3 linked regions of the Arabidopsis thaliana genome follow. The protein of the gene in region 2 purifies or fractionates together with the protein of the main gene of each other region. This does not show direct contact. Each region holds a gene or a part of one and is shown on either strand. Other genes may lie near its edges.

The links. Proteins that work in one complex are often made in the same cells at the same time.
Region 1: the proteins of AT5G22780 (region 2) and HAP13 fractionate together in Arabidopsis thaliana (co-fractionation; one large-scale study listed by BioGRID). This does not show direct contact.
Region 3: the proteins of AT5G22780 (region 2) and AT1G47830 fractionate together in Arabidopsis thaliana (co-fractionation; one large-scale study listed by BioGRID). This does not show direct contact.

What each region holds. Positions count from the first base shown.
Region 1 is NC_003070.9:22,367,627-22,374,245, reverse strand, and holds HAP13 (Clathrin adaptor complexes medium subunit family protein), read left to right. Parts: upstream 1-2,022; 5' UTR 2,023-2,360; coding exon 2,361-2,489; intron 2,490-2,853; coding exon 2,854-3,000; intron 3,001-3,099; coding exon 3,100-3,162; intron 3,163-3,305; coding exon 3,306-3,482; intron 3,483-3,565; coding exon 3,566-3,669; intron 3,670-3,772; coding exon 3,773-3,880; intron 3,881-4,019; coding exon 4,020-4,116; intron 4,117-4,201; coding exon 4,202-4,299; intron 4,300-4,411; coding exon 4,412-4,553; intron 4,554-4,654; coding exon 4,655-4,777; intron 4,778-4,858; coding exon 4,859-4,957; 3' UTR 4,958-5,293; downstream 5,294-6,619. Other genes in the region: AT1G60770 (Tetratricopeptide repeat (TPR)-like superfamily protein), read left to right, coding at 5,598-5,825, 6,040-6,619. UniProt on the Arabidopsis thaliana protein: Subunit of clathrin-associated adaptor protein complex 1 that plays a role in protein sorting at the trans-Golgi network and early endosomes (TGN/EE).
Region 2 is NC_003076.8:7,594,736-7,600,702, forward strand, and holds the start of AT5G22780 (Adaptor protein complex AP-2, alpha subunit), read right to left. Parts: upstream 3,379-5,967; 5' UTR 3,094-3,378; coding exon 2,968-3,093; intron 2,190-2,967; coding exon 2,058-2,189; intron 1,686-2,057; coding exon 1,560-1,685; intron 1,345-1,559; coding exon 1,282-1,344; intron 1,197-1,281; coding exon 1,099-1,196; intron 1,018-1,098; coding exon 810-1,017; intron 645-809; coding exon 573-644; intron 499-572; coding exon 406-498; intron 164-405; coding exon 62-163; intron 1-61. Other genes in the region: RER1 (reticulata-related 1), read right to left, coding at 4,660-4,853, 5,242-5,306, 5,417-5,496, 5,581-5,650, 5,785-5,967. UniProt on the Arabidopsis thaliana protein: Subunit of the adaptor protein complex 2 (AP-2). Adaptor protein complexes function in protein transport via transport vesicles in different membrane traffic pathways.
Region 3 is NC_003070.9:17,611,703-17,616,868, forward strand, and holds AT1G47830 (SNARE-like superfamily protein), read right to left. Parts: upstream 3,285-5,166; 5' UTR 3,083-3,284; coding exon 3,080-3,082; intron 2,992-3,079; coding exon 2,893-2,991; intron 2,817-2,892; coding exon 2,766-2,816; intron 2,494-2,765; coding exon 2,320-2,493; intron 1,852-2,319; coding exon 1,792-1,851; intron 1,686-1,791; coding exon 1,644-1,685; 3' UTR 1,327-1,643; downstream 1-1,326. Other genes in the region: AT1G47820 (uncharacterized protein), read left to right, coding at 412-702; HXK3 (hexokinase 3), read right to left, coding at 4,541-4,867, 4,946-5,027. UniProt on the Arabidopsis thaliana protein: Subunit of the adaptor protein complex 2 (AP-2). Adaptor protein complexes function in protein transport via transport vesicles in different membrane traffic pathways.

The sequences.
Region 1 (6,619 bases), on a different chromosome or scaffold from region 2:
AAATTAATTGAGGGAAAACTCAAGAATGTGTGTGTGATCATTGAAGAAATGAAGAATGTGTGTTAGAGTGAGTGAATATTCAAAAGACTCAAATAGGTTTTTAATGAACAATAGGGAACCCGAGGAAACGCGTGACTCTAAGATATATGAATTTATTTTGCACTTATTACTTTTGATTAATTTTTATATTCTAACCCTTTTTTATATACTATTTTTTTCAGTGCAAGTAATGAATGAAGTAACGAGATGAGAGTCTAGTTTCAAAGTTTTGAATCTTTTTGGTCAATGTCGTCTCTATTTGTTGACCATATTATACGTTTGACTTTAACCCCATTTTTCTTTAATCTCATTCTTCTTCTTTGCTTCAATGGTTGACGAATTCTTACCGTAGAAGTTGCATCTAAATATACCAAAGATTAATACTGCGAAAATATGATAAAGAAGATTTTTTTTTTTTGTACTCTCTAGAAATTTGTAAACGATATTATTAGTGTTTGATTAAAGACTCCAATTTTTAACATAATGTCTATATCCACATAATGAATTTGTGTCTCTACTATATGTAGTGTTCCCGTCATATATGCATTTTTGCGATAGTCAATCGGATCTTTGTATTGCGGTTAATTGATCTGGTCTTTCTTGAGCGTACAAAATAAATAGAATTGTACGTATTATTAGAGATGGTTACATTTGGTTTACATTATTAGTTAAAGTTAACCAATAATGTAAACCAATAAAGTTAACCAATAATGTAAACCAAATGTAACTATCTCTAATACGTATGTTGACTATGATGTACTTCAAGACAAGTTCATCATCACTTAACGTAACTAACACTATATTAGTTAAGTTCAAGACTTATTGCCCATGATTCATTTGTAAACTATGAAGTAACATATCTCTGATTTTTTCCTCTTATGTTTGATAAATTAGTCATTATAATTAGTGTCTTGCCAAAAAGTACACTTCTATCTTATTAGCATTCTACATTACAAACTATTAATTTCACTACGTATAGCGGTATAGGGAGAAGATCAATAAGGCGATCACAATATTAGTTAAGTTCCGAGTCTTGCATTACCATTGTCCTATGAATCACAGAACAAGAGGACGCATATATATATAGTATTTATAAAAGACTAAGATAGTCACAGAACAAGAGGACGCATATATAATTGACAAATACTCAAAACATGTGAAAAGATAAGGGCTATTACGTCTTCATTAAGATCCCATAATCTTTATGATGAGAACTTAAGAGCCAAACTAGCTATGTAACAAAATATCAAGTTTGAAAGTAATAAACTGCTTGAATAAGCTTCAAGTTCACTACATGGTTTAGAAAGGTTTAAAATCTATTACTTTCAAACGCTTTTATTGTGTACCAATCAATCCAACAAAGTATGCAATCGTACTAATCAATCCAACAAAGTATACACTCACACCGGTAACATCAAAAATTCAAAAATTCAAAATTTCATGTTACCAATCAATCCAACAAAATATACAATCCCTGAGACCGAGTTATAATTTGTTGGAATGATTGGTACCAGTGAAATTGTGTTGTCGTGTGAACATCAACACATAGGAGGTAATATACGTAAATATGCTAGCAATCAAGCTAAGTATACAAAACACTTCATGTTGCAGTGTTCTATTGAAATTTTATATATCGAACTAGAATACTATCATGGAGAATGATCAAATGTTGCATATCTTCATATCCACGAAAAATGAGTACACAAACATTCGATCATACCCCATGACAGTTTTCTAGTTTATACTTGATAGTCCTCACGATTTCATGGTGGTGACACTACACAAACCCTAGATTCCCCTAAAGTTTTTGTGAAAAACGCATATGTTCGATTTTAGGTTTTACTTCTATCCTTGATTCATTACAAACCTATTTTTATACTAATTCGTCGTTAACCTAATAATTTTAACCTACGAAACCCAACCTATATGGGCCTGACTTTATGTAATGATCCAATGGGCCTTTCTTCTTCAATGATGACTTTCTTCATTGACTCTCCTTCTACTTTCGATGGTATTAAATTTGACGGAAAAAGTAAAACGATACCGTCTGGGTGAAAGGCAGAGCTCTTTGCTTCTGAATATTATTATTTTCTTAAATTCTTCCGTTTTTTTTTTTAATCCAACCACAAGGATCGATAACGAAATCATCAGATCGCCAGAAAAAAAAAAAAAATTGCGAAATGGAGAATCTGAGCTGCAGATCTGCGTCAATCTCCATCTAGATGTTGTTGCTACTTCTTCCTCTATAGAACCATAATTTCATCAGATCTCGCTGATTAATCATCCCCATTTGGATCTGATCGAAACTCTTAGGGAAGAACATGGCAGGAGCTGCCTCCGCGCTGTTTCTGCTTGATATCAAGGGACGCGTTCTCGTCTGGCGTGATTATCGTGGCGATGTCTCCGCTGCTCAAGCCGAGCGATTCTTCACTAAGCTCATCGAGAAAGAGGTTGTTCTGATCTTCCTCTTATCGCTAATTGGTCTTTGTTTATTGCTTGGTTACTGTAGAATTTTCAGAGAAACATAGAGTTAGCGAACGAACTTGTAGATTTGTGTTTGAAAGATTCGTCAATTGGAATTGAAACATTTCGAAGATAATGGATTCGTGTCCATTTTCATCTGCACTGGAAATGAATTTTGAAGATAATGGATTCGTATCAGTCTTTGTGATCTGATGCCGCTGAAATTTTTTGGAAGTAATGAACAAGTTTGATCATTGGTTAAATGTTTTGGATTAGAATTTGATTTGAATCTGTACTTTTGAAGCATTCTGGTTTAAATCAGAGTAATCATCGTTTTGTTTAATTGTTCAGGGTGATTCACAGTCAAATGATCCAGTTGCTTACGATAATGGGGTGACTTATATGTTTGTACAACATAGTAATGTATACTTGATGATAGCATCCAGGCAGAATTGTAATGCTGCCAGTCTTCTCTTCTTTCTTCACCGCGTTGTCGATGTAAGTATGGCTGGTCAATTCTTTAGTTTTTCTCTTAAGGTTCCATCTTTTTCCTGGATATTTGATGTAATGGCAATGGTATCTGTTATCTGGTTATAGGTTTTCAAGCATTACTTCGAGGAGTTAGAAGAGGAATCATTGAGGGATAACTTTGTGGTAGTGGTATGTTAAGCTTCTGTCATCGCTCTTTTAGTACTATTTCGCAATATATTTTTCTATTACTTGGGCAATCAAAAAGATCCTTAAAATTTTGGAAAAGTATTTGTCATTGTTAGATGCTGAAATTGATTTTTTGGTGCTGGCAGTATGAGCTACTTGACGAGATGATGGACTTTGGTTACCCTCAGTATACCGAAGCAAGAATTCTCAGTGAATTCATCAAGACTGATGCATATAGAATGGAAGTTACACAGAGACCTCCAATGGCTGTGACGAATGCTGTCTCCTGGAGGAGTGAGGGAATACAGTACAAGAAGAATGAAGTGAGTGCCATTGTTTTCGCAAGATAGGAATATGTTTCTGATGTTTCGGTTTGCAAATAATGACAACCTGCTTCTTTTTCCAGGTTTTCTTGGATGTTATTGAGAATGTAAATATTCTTGTCAACAGTAATGGGCAAATTGTCAGGTCTGATGTTGTTGGAGCGCTGAAGATGCGAACTTACTTGACGTATGTCAACACATCAAATTTACGATATAGTTCCTAATCAGCCAAAGCATGTTAAATCACGTCCCTTTTTGACTATTTTGCTCTTTGATCCATTCTATTGCAGTGGAATGCCAGAGTGTAAGTTAGGACTGAATGATAGAGTATTGCTGGAAGCGCAGGGACGAGCAACTAAGGGAAAAGCCATTGATTTGGAGGACATCAAATTTCATCAGTACGTCTTTAAGTTTTTATTATATTGAAACTTGGAAAGTCTTCACTGATCTTAACCCTTCTATTTTCTTTTTGTTCAAAAAGATTATATACTTGAGTTTTATGTATTCTCTTCTTCAACAACCATTTATTTAATGCAGGTGTGTTCGATTGGCCCGTTTTGAAAACGATAGGACGATATCTTTCATACCACCTGATGGGGCTTTTGATCTGATGACATATAGACTCAGCACTCAGGTTTGACATGTGGGATATAGCATCTACTGGAATTGTTCCACGTCTTCAACAAGTAAATATCATGATTTGTTTCTTTTATGTTCAGGTAAAGCCACTTATATGGGTGGAAGCACAAATAGAAAGTCATTCAAGAAGTCGTGTTGAGATGCTCATAAAAGCTAGAAGTCAGTTCAAGGAACGAAGGTAAATATATTCTATGGTATTTGTGCCACTTTCCTTTTCTGTCTTACTGTCATGCAAAGATCCTGATTGATCAGATTCTTTAAACCTTTGATCACGAACATTCTTTTTGTAGCACCGCAACGAACGTTGAGATTGAGTTGCCTGTACCAACCGATGCATCTAACCCCACCGTTAGGACATCTCTAGGGTCTGCCTCTTATGCTCCTGAAAAAGATGCGTTAGTCTGGAAAATCAAATCTTTCCCGGGGAACAAGGTATAACACTAACAAGGTTCAATAAACTCTTAAATTCAGTTGAAACAGTCAGCAATGTAGACTATGTAGTATCAATGCTAACCTTCAGAAAACCAATATAGGAGTACATGTTAAGGGCAGAGTTCCATCTTCCAAGTATCACTGCAGAGGAAGCAACTCCTGAGCGAAAGGCTCCTATCCGTGTCAAATTTGAGATCCCTTATTTCACTGTTTCAGGGATTCAGGTAAGCTTGTGCTTAATAATAAATGGTTACTGTCTCTTCCACAATGTCATATATATAATATATATGTTCTTTGGTGTGTAGGTTCGGTACCTAAAGATTATTGAGAAGAGTGGGTACCAAGCACTTCCATGGGTGAGATACATAACCATGGCTGGTGAGTACGAACTAAGACTCGTGTAATGCACATTTAGTTTCATCGTCTATGTCAATTGTGATTCCCACATCCCTCAAGGAATTGCCTGAATCAAAGAAGCAAAACGAAACAGGACAAAAGTAGAGGGAAAAGAAAACGTTTTGAAACATTTTAGCTGATCAAATTTTCCTTTAATTTGTTTTAGAAGCCATATTCTTGTGAATTTGTCTTTATGGTGATTCTATTTTATTTTACATGAGGCTCTCTGTAACCTTTCACGACATGGTTCATTATTTTCCTTTAGACTGCTACATTTCTGTCTATGTGTTCGTTCTGCGATCAAAATTGTTAAACGTTGAGGTTTTGGTTTTGTTTTTTGGGGCATTCGTCTATGTTTACATAGGTTTCTCTCGAGTTATGATCAAAATGAAACTACATAAACAAATTATGCTTCAATAGAGTGAGGTGAGAGAGCCTTACAATAGAGAGAACGTATATTTTGGTGTTTCTCATATTGTTTAACTGATATAGTATGGGCCGAAATGAAATAATCGTCAGGCCCATTAAAAAGCCCATAATCACCATACTTTCTCCTCCAATTCTGTTTCGAGCTTGGGAAGTGACAGTGAATTAGGGTTTTACTCAAAAAACCTTCTCGTTGTCGTTGTTTACTGCTCCGACGAGAAAATGGCGATGCGACATTTGAGCCGATCGAGAGACGTTACAAAGAGATCGACAAAGAAGTACATCGAAGAACCTCTGTACAATCGCCTCTTCAAAGATGGTGGTACAGAGGTCAAAGTTCGACAGCAGCTTAATCAGTTCCTCAAAGGCACTAAACACGTCTTCAAATGGGAGGTCGGCGATACGATCAAGAAACTCCGAAATCGCGGCCTCTATTACCCAGCTCTCAAGGTTTCATAAATCCAAATTGCATTTTCGATTCTCTAGGATTAGCTTCACAATAAGCATTTGCTTCAAATCTGTTGAATACATATAGAAATGTAGATTCTTAAGTGGTATTTTGATGCTCATTATGAACAATTTAGTAATTGTTGAATAATTTTTTCACTGTGTGATGATTGTGTCTTTAGATTTCATATTGTGGAGTTGTTTTTTTGGTTTGTAGCTATCTGAAGTTATGGAAGAGAGAGGTATGAACAAGACAGTGAGTGATCAAGCAATCCATCTTGATCTTGTTGCTAAAGCTCGTGAAATTACTGCTGGGGAGAATTATTTTGTTGATCTTCCGGAAACATCTAAGACGGAACTCACGTATGGGTCTCTTTTGAACTGTTACTGCAAGGAGTTGTTGACAGAGAAAGCGGAAGGTTTGCTGAATAAGATGAAAGAGCTCAACATTACTCCTAGTTCCATGTCTTATAACAGCCTCATGACTCTTTACACCAAGACAGGTGAGACTGAGAAAGTTCCGGCGATGATTCAAGAATTGAAGGCGGAGAATGTGATGCCGGATTCGTACACTTATAATGTCTGGATGAGGGCTTTGGCTGCTACTAATGATATTTCTGGTGTTGAGAGAGTCATTGAAGAGATGAATAGAGATGGTAGAGTTGCTCCGGATTGGACTACGTATAGCAATATGGCATCGATATATGTTGATGCTGGACTGTCTCAGAAAGCTGAGAAGGCTCTTCAGGAACTGGAGATGAAAAACACGCAACGGGATTTTACGGCATATCAGTTTC
Region 2 (5,967 bases):
ACTTAACAAATTACTGTTCTAGCTAAGCTTAGATGCAGGAAGTGGGTATGCAAGATCTCACCAAGCCTAGATATCTGATGTTGGGCTCACGGACAGAAATAAACTTGCCAAGAAGAGCAACACACTGTGACATCATTTCCTTCTCAGCATCAAGATGCATGACCTATATCAAAACACATTAACAAGTTAGGGGTTGCACACTAAGCCAGAAAGTTTACTAGAGTGTGCTCATCAATCTAATCATCGCGAAGAAAAGCTCTCTTTGAGGTTCAATATTTCTTGTGTAAATCTCTGATATATGTCTTCGAATTCTCTCTCATGGCATTTCATGGACAGATAGTTGACTTGAGTATAATCAACAATTGAACCTCAAAAAGTTAATGCTATTTCTTAGATAGAGCTTACCAGGGAGAGAGCTTCAAACAGCACGGCATGAGACGCATTGTTTTTATTCACATTTTTCACAACATCTGTGCCCATCAATATTCGCTGAAGGACCTGAAATTTCCATGAAATGCCATGAGAGAGATTTCGAAGACATATATCAGATATTTACACAAGAAAATTTGTACCTCAAAGAGAGCTTTTCTGGTACTGGGATCTTCAATGGTTGGAAAATATTGAAGAGCCCTCATTGCCTTAACCTGTACTGCCAAAGATATATAAGTATCCAACAACCACAACATACCAAAGCTGGGGCAAGCCTCTATTTTCATAAGCTAATTTCACATAAAATGTTTAAAATGCATGAGATTGGGAAAAGGATGTGATTAAAAAATATTGAACGTATTAACCGAGTTAAGACAAACCTGGAGCCAAGGAGATGGGATGCCATAGTATGTGTACTCCTGAGGAACATCCTGGTTCCTAGCAAGGCGTTCTAATATTTTGACACATTTAGGTAGACAACTTGAGTACGCCTCATGATTGTTAGATACCAGAGCTACAAGAAGACTCGTAGAAGACGTCAAGACACCAAGATCTCGTTCATCCAAAAGTTGTGCCATACGATCCGCCCTGGAAGTATACGACAAAGTGAATATGAAAGATGCACAAGTAAACTCAAACAACCAGTAACCCAAGAGTGTTCACACACACCAGCCATCAACGTTGACAGCATCCGGATTTTTTCGGAATAAGCGCAGTAGGCACAGTGCCGCTTTTTTCCTTACGAGAGGTCTGCAACTACTAGAAATCTGCAGCGAACAAGCCCCAAAACATTTATATGTTTACTTATATCGGGAAAAAAAACATAACATGTCATCTTTGGGAGTCACTTACAAGTAGCTTTTGAACATCAGGTGCCAATGATTCAGCAAAATCTCTTCCACCAATATTTCCAACCTACAGGACAAAATAAGCAGGGAAATGTAAGAGAGCTAGAAGAAAAAAAGCACCAGTTCAATGAAGTAAGTGGCTTTGAATCGCAAAATAATAGAGCACAAAAGATAAATGTATCCAAAGACTTCCACTAAAATAGTCATTCAACTGCATTCATAATCAGAAAGACCTCACTAAGCTCTAAAACCTCAACACAGCATGGACAAAAGCCAACATACCAAGGTCAGTGCTAAGCATTGGAAAGTCTCATTCCGACCAATAATATCGTTCCGCACTGTATTTATAGCCAACTTCAAAAAGTCATGGTTCTCATTGAGCAAGCAAGATGTAACAATGTAGCCAACCTGAAATTATGGATGAAAAGTTCAATACCTGCAAATTTGGTAGTGAGCATAAAATAATACAAACTGCAAATACAAACCCTTGGATACAATGCATGGTTCCTGGTTAAGATTTGCTACGATGTTACTAAGTAACTTATGCGTCTAAGTAAATGCCTCCAGTACTTTACCAGGTCCATTCAAACTGAATAAGTTGCAAGCTTGTGAAATAGTATCTAAATCCAGCATCCATTATCTTCAGAGATTTTTTTTTTTGTTTCAGCTTGCTCACTAGACTTGAATCAAACAAATACCCCACCCCCACCACACACACACCTATTATCTTCTCCTACCCTTAGAAAGCAATATTTCATTGGTTACAAAACGTTGGCTTACCTGCTTTTCTGGATACTTTGGCGCAGATATAAGAGAAACTGCCTCCATATGGCCAAAATCCACATCGTAGCCTAGCATATGTATATAAAGCATTTTCCAGACATATTTCTTCTTTTTGTATGGTGTTAAGACCTGAAAACATAAAACAAGTTAAAGTAAGAGTGCATGATTAATTTATTTCTAACATTTTAAAATAAGTTTGGTGTTGGTCCAACTGGCCACACATGGATCCACTACAGGCCGGCTACAGCTCTACTACGTAGAGTATGGAACCAGATTATCTCTCCAGAACTTCTTACAGCAACAAAGCTTAATGTATTTCGTAATGAGCTTTTCAAAATTTTCCGTGATCTGTATTTCTTTCCTTAGACCATCACTACATAACCGAATTTACTGCCAGGCCATTCTTTTCTTCTAGTTCCTAAATATCATCATATATTTAGTGTCTTATATATCTTGATTGATCTTCTCCCATCTATGGACTTTAAATGCAGTAATGACATTCCAAAGTTGAAAGCAGTACTAGTGATGTTACAAAGGGTAGAATAATGGCTAATCTCTACCGATCTGAGCTAGCTATACAATACTGCCTGTCCAGGTACACACTTAGTGTTATATCAAAAATTTATAGCCTGAATCCGATAAAATAAGAAACTACAGGCTTCCAAAACTATCCACTCGGCAACTCTGGCTTTCCTAATAAAATATTCGGCCAGTGATTGCATCTTTCTTTCAACTACATTCTTATATAACTCCCTAATCAACCTCAGAGGAATAGGTAGCTTCATGGAGAAATCTCCAATATATCTAATCAATACAGAACCTCGGCAGATACTACTCCGTCACTGAATTACCACTCAAAATGAGAATAAAACACAGGCAAACAAAAATGGAGATAATTGAGAGTAACCTTCTCATTCTTGAAGCATGTACGAATGTTTCCGAGCTCCTTATCAACTCGTAGTCTCTCCGCTTCCTTGTTCTGACAATTACGAACGTCGCTGATAAATACGGAGAGACCTCTCATTCCGGTCATGGTGGAACAGAGTCCTCAGATCCACCGTCCTCCACCGCCTCACACGGCGCAGATCCGAACTCGCGAAACCGGATCTAACTATGACAGAAAGCGCAGACCACAGCTGAAGGATTAGCAATTCGCGAGAGCTGAGATCGAAACCCTAATCTAGAAACGGAAAATGACACCTCCAATGGACGAAATTCAAAAAGGAGAGAGTGATCTTTGGAGAAGAGAGAGACAAGCCTGCGGGAAGAGACGAGGGACGACTTTTATTATTTACAACTTTGACTATTCAATTTTGTGTTATTCAGTTTCGTCTGTTTTGATTTTTGAACACATGCGAATTTGGAAAATTCGAAATTGACTCGTCCAAAAACAGAATTCACGAGTTTACAAAAAAAAACAAAAATTAAAACGAGCTAAACAGACGAATTTAAGATTACAAGTTCGAGAAATACAAAAAATAAACGAGTAATTCGAAAAATAAACATGGAATAAACTAATTTTATATATTAAAAATGAAGAAAGCTGGCCATTTCTCAAAAGACTGCACCATTAAAACGAAGTTTGTACAATCTGTCTCAAAATCTTAAACTGTTTTTCACCGCGGTTATGTATTCAATTGGTATTTCAGTATAACATAAGTACATAACCATACCATGAGACCATGAAAAAACCGGATTTTAAATTCAGGTCAAGTTATGGTCCCAACGTAGGGATGATTAATCAAATGATTCACCTTCCTTGGGAGGACAATGTTCCTTTGAACAGTCGTCAGCTTTTGATTACCATTTGGTATTCACATTAATTAATCTATAGGGCATATAATATAAATTGTTCAAATTAAGTAAAGGAGTATAAATAAAATATCATTAAGGGGCACAAAACAGAAACAAGAGAACAAAAGATGAGGATCATGCAGCAGTTGGATGACAGTGGTTACTAAGCTGTCACTCGCAAGATCCTCCATCTATCGAATGATGCCTTACCATCAAAGTATCCTAAGAATATTTTCCTTGCAAATAAATATCGAAAGATTTTTTTGTAATATACTCACTCATAGTTGCTTTAAATATTTTTATTTATTACTTTTAATATCTCCACCTACCAACAATTCTCCTTTTCCCCTTCTCACTTTTAACGGTGGGAAAAGTGAAAAAAAAAACACAGAAGAATGAATCAACGCAAACGTCAAAAATGACGTTTAGTTGACATAATTCGCCATTGTGATCATATTGTTATAAACTTTATAAAAACGCAGAGGCTAACGGCTGATAAAAAGTTTGAGTCATTATTGCAAGTATATGATTCAGAAAAATGAATAAGAGAGACAAGGATACCATGAGAAACTCAACTTCCAAAACCAAATTGAAAATGTTGTATCGAGTAGTATTCCGGTTAGAAGAATCCGGTCCGTATCATGAACCAGATTCTCTTTCTGTAGCTCTCGGTAAATAACCTAATCACACTAATGAAACTCAGATAACTAAACTTCCCCATCAGATTAGAGATACTCTCATACTCCTGAGGATTGACATCTAGGCTAGTTTACTATCCGGTTTGTAACAAAACCGAACCGGTTGATTACTGAACGCCGGACAATTTAGCCCAATCTACAAATTGCATACCGCCATACACATTGTTAGCAAACCGGACTCCCACCGTGAATGCCATAGCGACCACAGGGATACGTTTGGCCGCTGTAGAACCTTCCACGACGCGTTCGAGGCCGTTGATGATTTGGTAACGCGCATTGGAAGATAAGCCGAGGAACACACCTGAACAACAGCGCAATACAGAGAAGAGAGTGAATATATATGTATATGTAATCAACAATTCACAGAGTAAACTTCAGGGTTATCTCTGAGCTCAGCAACTAAATTACCCTCTCCATTGATCTAATATTGCTAACAACAGGACAATGTAGCTAATATCTTCACATAGAATTGTAAGCATAATCTATTCTTGGTATCATTGGCAATTCAGGTTCTTTCCTTTCTAAGAAACTAAGCCCGGTTAAGAAACCGATGGCTGATCACAAGAACTCGGAAAAAGAGTAGACAACACAATATCGACGGTTCAAGACTATCGTTTTCAGTGAACATCAGAGGGGAAAAGCATCGATGATTCTGTAGAACATAGTTAGAGATCAAAAGTAAAGCTTACCCCAGAGAGCAGCGCTTTCGAAAAGAGGTGGAATAGGGACGTCTTCCTCTGATTTCTTCACACTCCTATTAACAAAGGTAACCTCAAATTTCAGTGAAGAACAGTTTTTTAAACAGTCAGAAGATTCATTTCATCATTGAAAAGTAGCAAGATAAAGTCGATGGTGAAAGAATACCGTTTTGCTGTCATGATCAGATTTGCAATTCCCTGACCAATGAGGCCGCAGCCGAATCCAACCGACCCATACAAGAGGCCCTGGACCAAGAATCACATCAATTAATCAAACCAAAGGTAAGCAAGATCCACAAAGGACATTAAAGCAATAGTTCTTCTCCATACCTTGTAGAAGAATGTTGCAATCCGCTGGTTAACTGAGAATTTACAACCCGGTCTTTCTGCTTCAAAAACACTTCAGAAGTACAAAAAAAAAAGCATGTATAAGTACATCTCATCCCGAATACACAGCCACCAGCTCGATAGATATCAGTGGGAACAGTTAACACAAAAGTGAAAAAAACGAGAGAGATACAGTAACAGTATTACCTGCTAGGAAGGGATGCACAAGCACGTTTAAGATCCTTGAATAAACCTGTTGATGCCACAGACGGCTTCCCGATACGTGCATAAGGAGCCAAAAGTCCAACCAAGGCAACATCAACCACAAGACCAACTAAAAGATCAGCAGCATATAACTCAAACTCTGACCAGAAATCTTCCCCTCTCTTC
Region 3 (5,166 bases), on a different chromosome or scaffold from region 2:
ATCGGTAACGGAAACATTTATTACGGAACAGTAGCTACCTCTTTTCGCCGGACGAAGTTGTCGCTATTTTCGTCAGAGCGCTAACCCACCTTAAGGGTAATTTCGTTCACGAAATTTCACGTGTGGTAAAATATGGCAGATTTTGTAAAGCCTATAAGAATATGGCATGGATTGTAAATTCTTGAGTGAAATATGGCAGATTTTGCAAGATTCCTAAATATTTGGTAAAGATAAACTGTAGTCGCTCATAATTAATTATCGGCTAAGCTTCATCGGCCTTTTGCTTCTTCTTCCACCCAAATAAAACTTCAGGTACCGAAGCTAAATTAAAATTCATTAGGGTTCTTCTTTCCTTACATCGCTGTAATTTTCGTTTCCTTCTTCTTCTTTAGTTTTAATTTCAGGGTAGATATGGAGATTGAGAGTCACGTTTCAGTCCCTGGGAAGAATCTAGTTAAAGTAGAGTTCAAGCTTGGGACAGAGAGCTACACAATTGATTCAATCAAGGGTGATACTGTATTGGACCAATTGGTTTCGATGAAAGAAGAAAGTATGAAGATACTTAAGGATTTTATCACAAAGCATAATGTTCCAGATGATGATGTCCCTGACCAAATCTTGTCTGATGATGAAGAAGGTGATGATGATGATGCTTCTCCTGTAATATGTCCTGTGAAACCACCCAAGAAGACAAAGATTTGAGTTTTTCCTTTTGCTTATCACTTGCTGTCTTGTCTTTTTTCCATTGATGTTGCTTAGATTTTGAACCTTTGTTCAAATTTTCTGTTTGTGGAACAGTTCTGTTTATCTAAAGAAGAATATGAGGACTTGGGTTAAGTTATGTTCAAATGTTTGCATCTGCTAGGTGGAATTTAGTAATGGTGTTGTTGAATTATTACTTAAGGTTGGTGATTGCATTGCTTTGAATGCTCATTGAGTTATTGAAGGAAGCTCTTGGAACTTCAGGGAAACTGTGATGACACTAGAGAACAGAACAAAGGTATTTTGGGCATTAGATGCAGGACTGATTTGGTTACATTACGTATTACTGGTTAGTGTTAATGTTCATGATTGATTCAGGAACTCGCAAAGTCTCATGTTTGACGCTTAGTAAGTCTAACATGTTAGAGTTTAAGAAAGAGTAGGGTTGGTGAGAAAACGTCTCATGTTCTTCTGTTTTGTCGCTGAGATGTAAGAGATTCTGTGACCTGATGAATCTTATCAGTGGAGGACAAAGAAGGATTTGGGTATCAGCACAGACCAGTCACTGGCAGAGATAGCAGAAAATGGTTTAGTCGACATGATCATAAAGGATTTTAAAGTTGTCACGAGAAATCGATTCATCACATTATGTTGATAATTCAACAGTTACTATCAATATTAGTTATATATCCTCTCAAAGCATGTGTGGTATCATAGTTCTACGAAACAAATAGTACATCACTAGTTGAAATGAAAATCTCACAGGTAAACAAAATGTTGGATGAGAGATCTTTAGCAGAATCACTCTAAATTCTTCATTCACAATGTAAACGCTACACCATTGTCTAACAACTCAACAAAGTATAGCAAATCTCTGAACATGCCAAGAAACATCTGGCAGGTACGCAGTTAACCAAGTAGAATGTGATTCTTAACCGTCATCACTGTAGCTTCTCGAGTTCTGACATCCTTTCGATGATTGCCTGCGAATTAAAACAAGTCCCCAACATTTAAAAGTTTAGCACTTGAGCAAGAGCATGTGTGATACATTTAAGTGAAAGAGAGAAGCTTGAAACAAAAATTTCACACCCTTTTGCTTGTTTCTTGGAGCTCCCCAGCAAGAATGAACTCATCGAGTATCAAGTACACCTTTCAGTTTAAGTCATAGGGAACTAGTTAGCAATTATTAGAGTACAAACACAGATCAAATCTAGAAACACTGTAGCATCTGCATATATAAACACAAATAGGGAATGCTTTTCAAGGCTGCATACAGATATTTATCTAATGGGTCACGATGGTCAGCTTAGAATTGGGACAAGTATACTGAGAAGAAAACGAAACTAGCTTTTGATTTTCGCAAACAAAAGCTTAGTTTGATATACCCTTGTAAGCTTAATATATGAGAATTCTCAGAAAACCATTTTAAAACATCTGGGAGAATTCACTTAACTAGTTCAAAACTTGTAAGCATTCAATACTCAAAAGACAAAGCAAAATCCCAGTGTTTATTCAAAACCAGTTGTTGTACAGCATCACAACTTAAAGTTATGAATCCAACGAAGCAGTTCCAGAAGCTATTTACAAAGGATAAGAGTAAGTAAAGAGGTTAAGTACCTTGTGGAAATTAAACACCAAATCTAGCTCACAAACATTGCTGAAGAAATGGTCCAATATCTCCACAAACAAATGGATACTCTCCAAGTAAGCCAACTCATTGTCGGTTATATCCACGCACACAGAGAAAAACAATCCAGCATAACGCCTGTATATCACCTTGTGTGTTCTAAACTGAAAATAGTTGCAAAACAGTTTCATCATTCATACATTAACATTCACAATGACACCCACTCACATAAAACGCATTCCATATTATTGTTTCTCAATCACACTTCTACTACATCTCGAATAATCTATCTCCAACAGCCCTAATCTTGTTATACAAAACCTAAATCAGGTTCAAACCTAAGACAATTTCAACAAGCCAATGCTTTTTAAAATCAATCAAATTATACAAAATCTGATTCAAGAATGATAAATTTTACAAAATGAAAACAGCAAACCTCAACGAAGTTGGTGAATTTGGCGTCGCGATTCACCACTAATCTATGAACCTGTGAAAAGAATTAAGAATCAGAAACCTAAAAAGGATAAAAAAAGGAAGATGATAGAATTTGAAATGAGTAGTACCTCGTATTCGACTTTGTGTTTCTCGGATTCTTCGAGAGGGACATAGTATTTGGCTAGACGAGTCTTACCTTGTCTGTTCTGCAATAATATGAATCGGATCTGGACAAATTGGGAGAGAGGTGGATCAGAATTGAGCGTCAGACATGAACAAAGGAAAACAAAGTGGAAGAGAAATAAAGCAGTGTACCATTTTCTCTGCAAAATCTAATGGAGAATTCAGGAGAAATCGTGAGCGATCAGAGGAATTTTCTTCTTTCAGATCTCACTTTGAATTTTCACGACCTTTGTTGAAAACAGGTTCGTAAAGCAGCCAAACTATCCAGTCAAAAAGATGGAGTTTTTAAGAAAAAAATTGATTTAGGAGGAAATAGAAAAATAAGCTTGGAGCTAGAAAAGATTTGTGAAATAGAATTTTTGTTTTAAAAATTTGATTTAACTACAACTTTTTTTTTCCAACTCAATGAAATATTATGTGTTTCATATTCGTATCCTCTCAAAACTAGTTACAAATCTGTTAATTTTTAAATTTTAATTGGATATTTTATGAAAGTTCAAAAAATATGATAAAAGTTTTATTAATTTTTTTTTGTTATAAGGCTTTCTTTTTTTTTTGGTGAAAATCAGAAGAAAAACCTTAATCGAACATGTCGTGACACGATAGTTCAGACTTATCATCCCTAAATATCGAAATCAAAGTATTCGGGAGAACATCAAATGCATGAAAATCTAGAAACAATGAAAACGCATGTAATTTGTCAATCCATTTGTGAAACGGTTGATCTTCCTTTATACGTGAAATATTAGGACTATCCAGTACTGCAAAACCTTTTTGAATGCTAATAAATTGTATTATCCATTTTGGATATCCATATTGCAAATTTTAATATTTGTAATTAACTTTCCCTCTAACATATATTAAATTTACTTACAAATATCTGCATATTTTTAATGGGATCAAAGATGATATAGCAAATCAAATAAGAGTACTACAAATATTTTGCCTTGCCCTATATTTAATTATGACATTGGGTTTGATTAGTAAGATCCAATAGATTTGTTTGCAAACAAAACAAAACAAACAGCTTTGGAGATTACCAATCATATGAGCGGTTGGAAAAAGTGATTAAAAGAGAGAAAAAATGGACGATTGCCAACTCTAAAAACTAAACGTTTGGTGGTTAAAATTTATTTGTTAGTTAAAATGATATTAAAAGTTTTCAAAAAAAATAATATATATTACTCTAGAAAAGAATCTTTAAAACTATTATCTATATTTAATTTATTGATTTATACAAAGCAATGGTACTAGTCAGCCGTTTGTTACTAAACATAACTTATCGGTTTGTTTAAACAAAGTTACAAATCTAACTCATTGATTAGACATAATTCATAACTTCTACTTCATTTAGAGTGTTTCACAAACCAAATAGGGATAGATTTATATCCAAAATTATAAATCGTATCAAAATTTTCACTTTGGAAGTAAAAGGATTTTCTAGTGTTGTACGAAGTGGTCCAAGACATAATCTTCTGCTAGTTCGTTGCTCCTCTTTACAATCTTATTGATATTGATATGATATCTTATATAAATGTACACAAACAAATGGACCAAAAGTCCTCCTATACTCATGAAGTAGAGGTCCAAGTACTAGTAAATGGAGTTAGTGGCCGCCAAAAGAGCAGCACCGAGCCCAGACACGTCTTTGGTATGTTTGATCGCAACGTGACTTGCAAGCTTATGGCCAAGAAGCTCGACTAGTGCGTCTTGCATATACTGTCGATATTGTGGGTACTTCTCATACAGTGCACCGTCCATAGCCACAACGGTTCTTTTACCTGAACCCATTCTTTTGGTATCTTTTTCAATCTTCTCCAGAATTGCCACTATACCAGCTCCTGCTAGACGCCCTCCGCGTTTCACTACTGTGTCACACACTTCCACCACTCTCCTCCTTGCATTCATATTCGCCTCTACCTATTTTCAATAGCTCGATCAGGTTGGTACAGTTATCAAATCTATGGATGTGATTAGCCTTATACATTAACAACTTACATCTAAAAAGTCGTATAGGATTGATCCAACATCCCGAAGATCATCTGTATTGTCCTCTTGCATTTTGCATAGATGCTCGGTCCTTTACAAAATTTACAAAAAAAAAAATAATGAATAAAACTGTCAATCAGAATTTACAACACTTTCCTAGCTAATCAAGTTATTAAGGTATTGAATCTAGGGGTGAGCATATATAGACCGCACCGAACCAAAGCTGAACC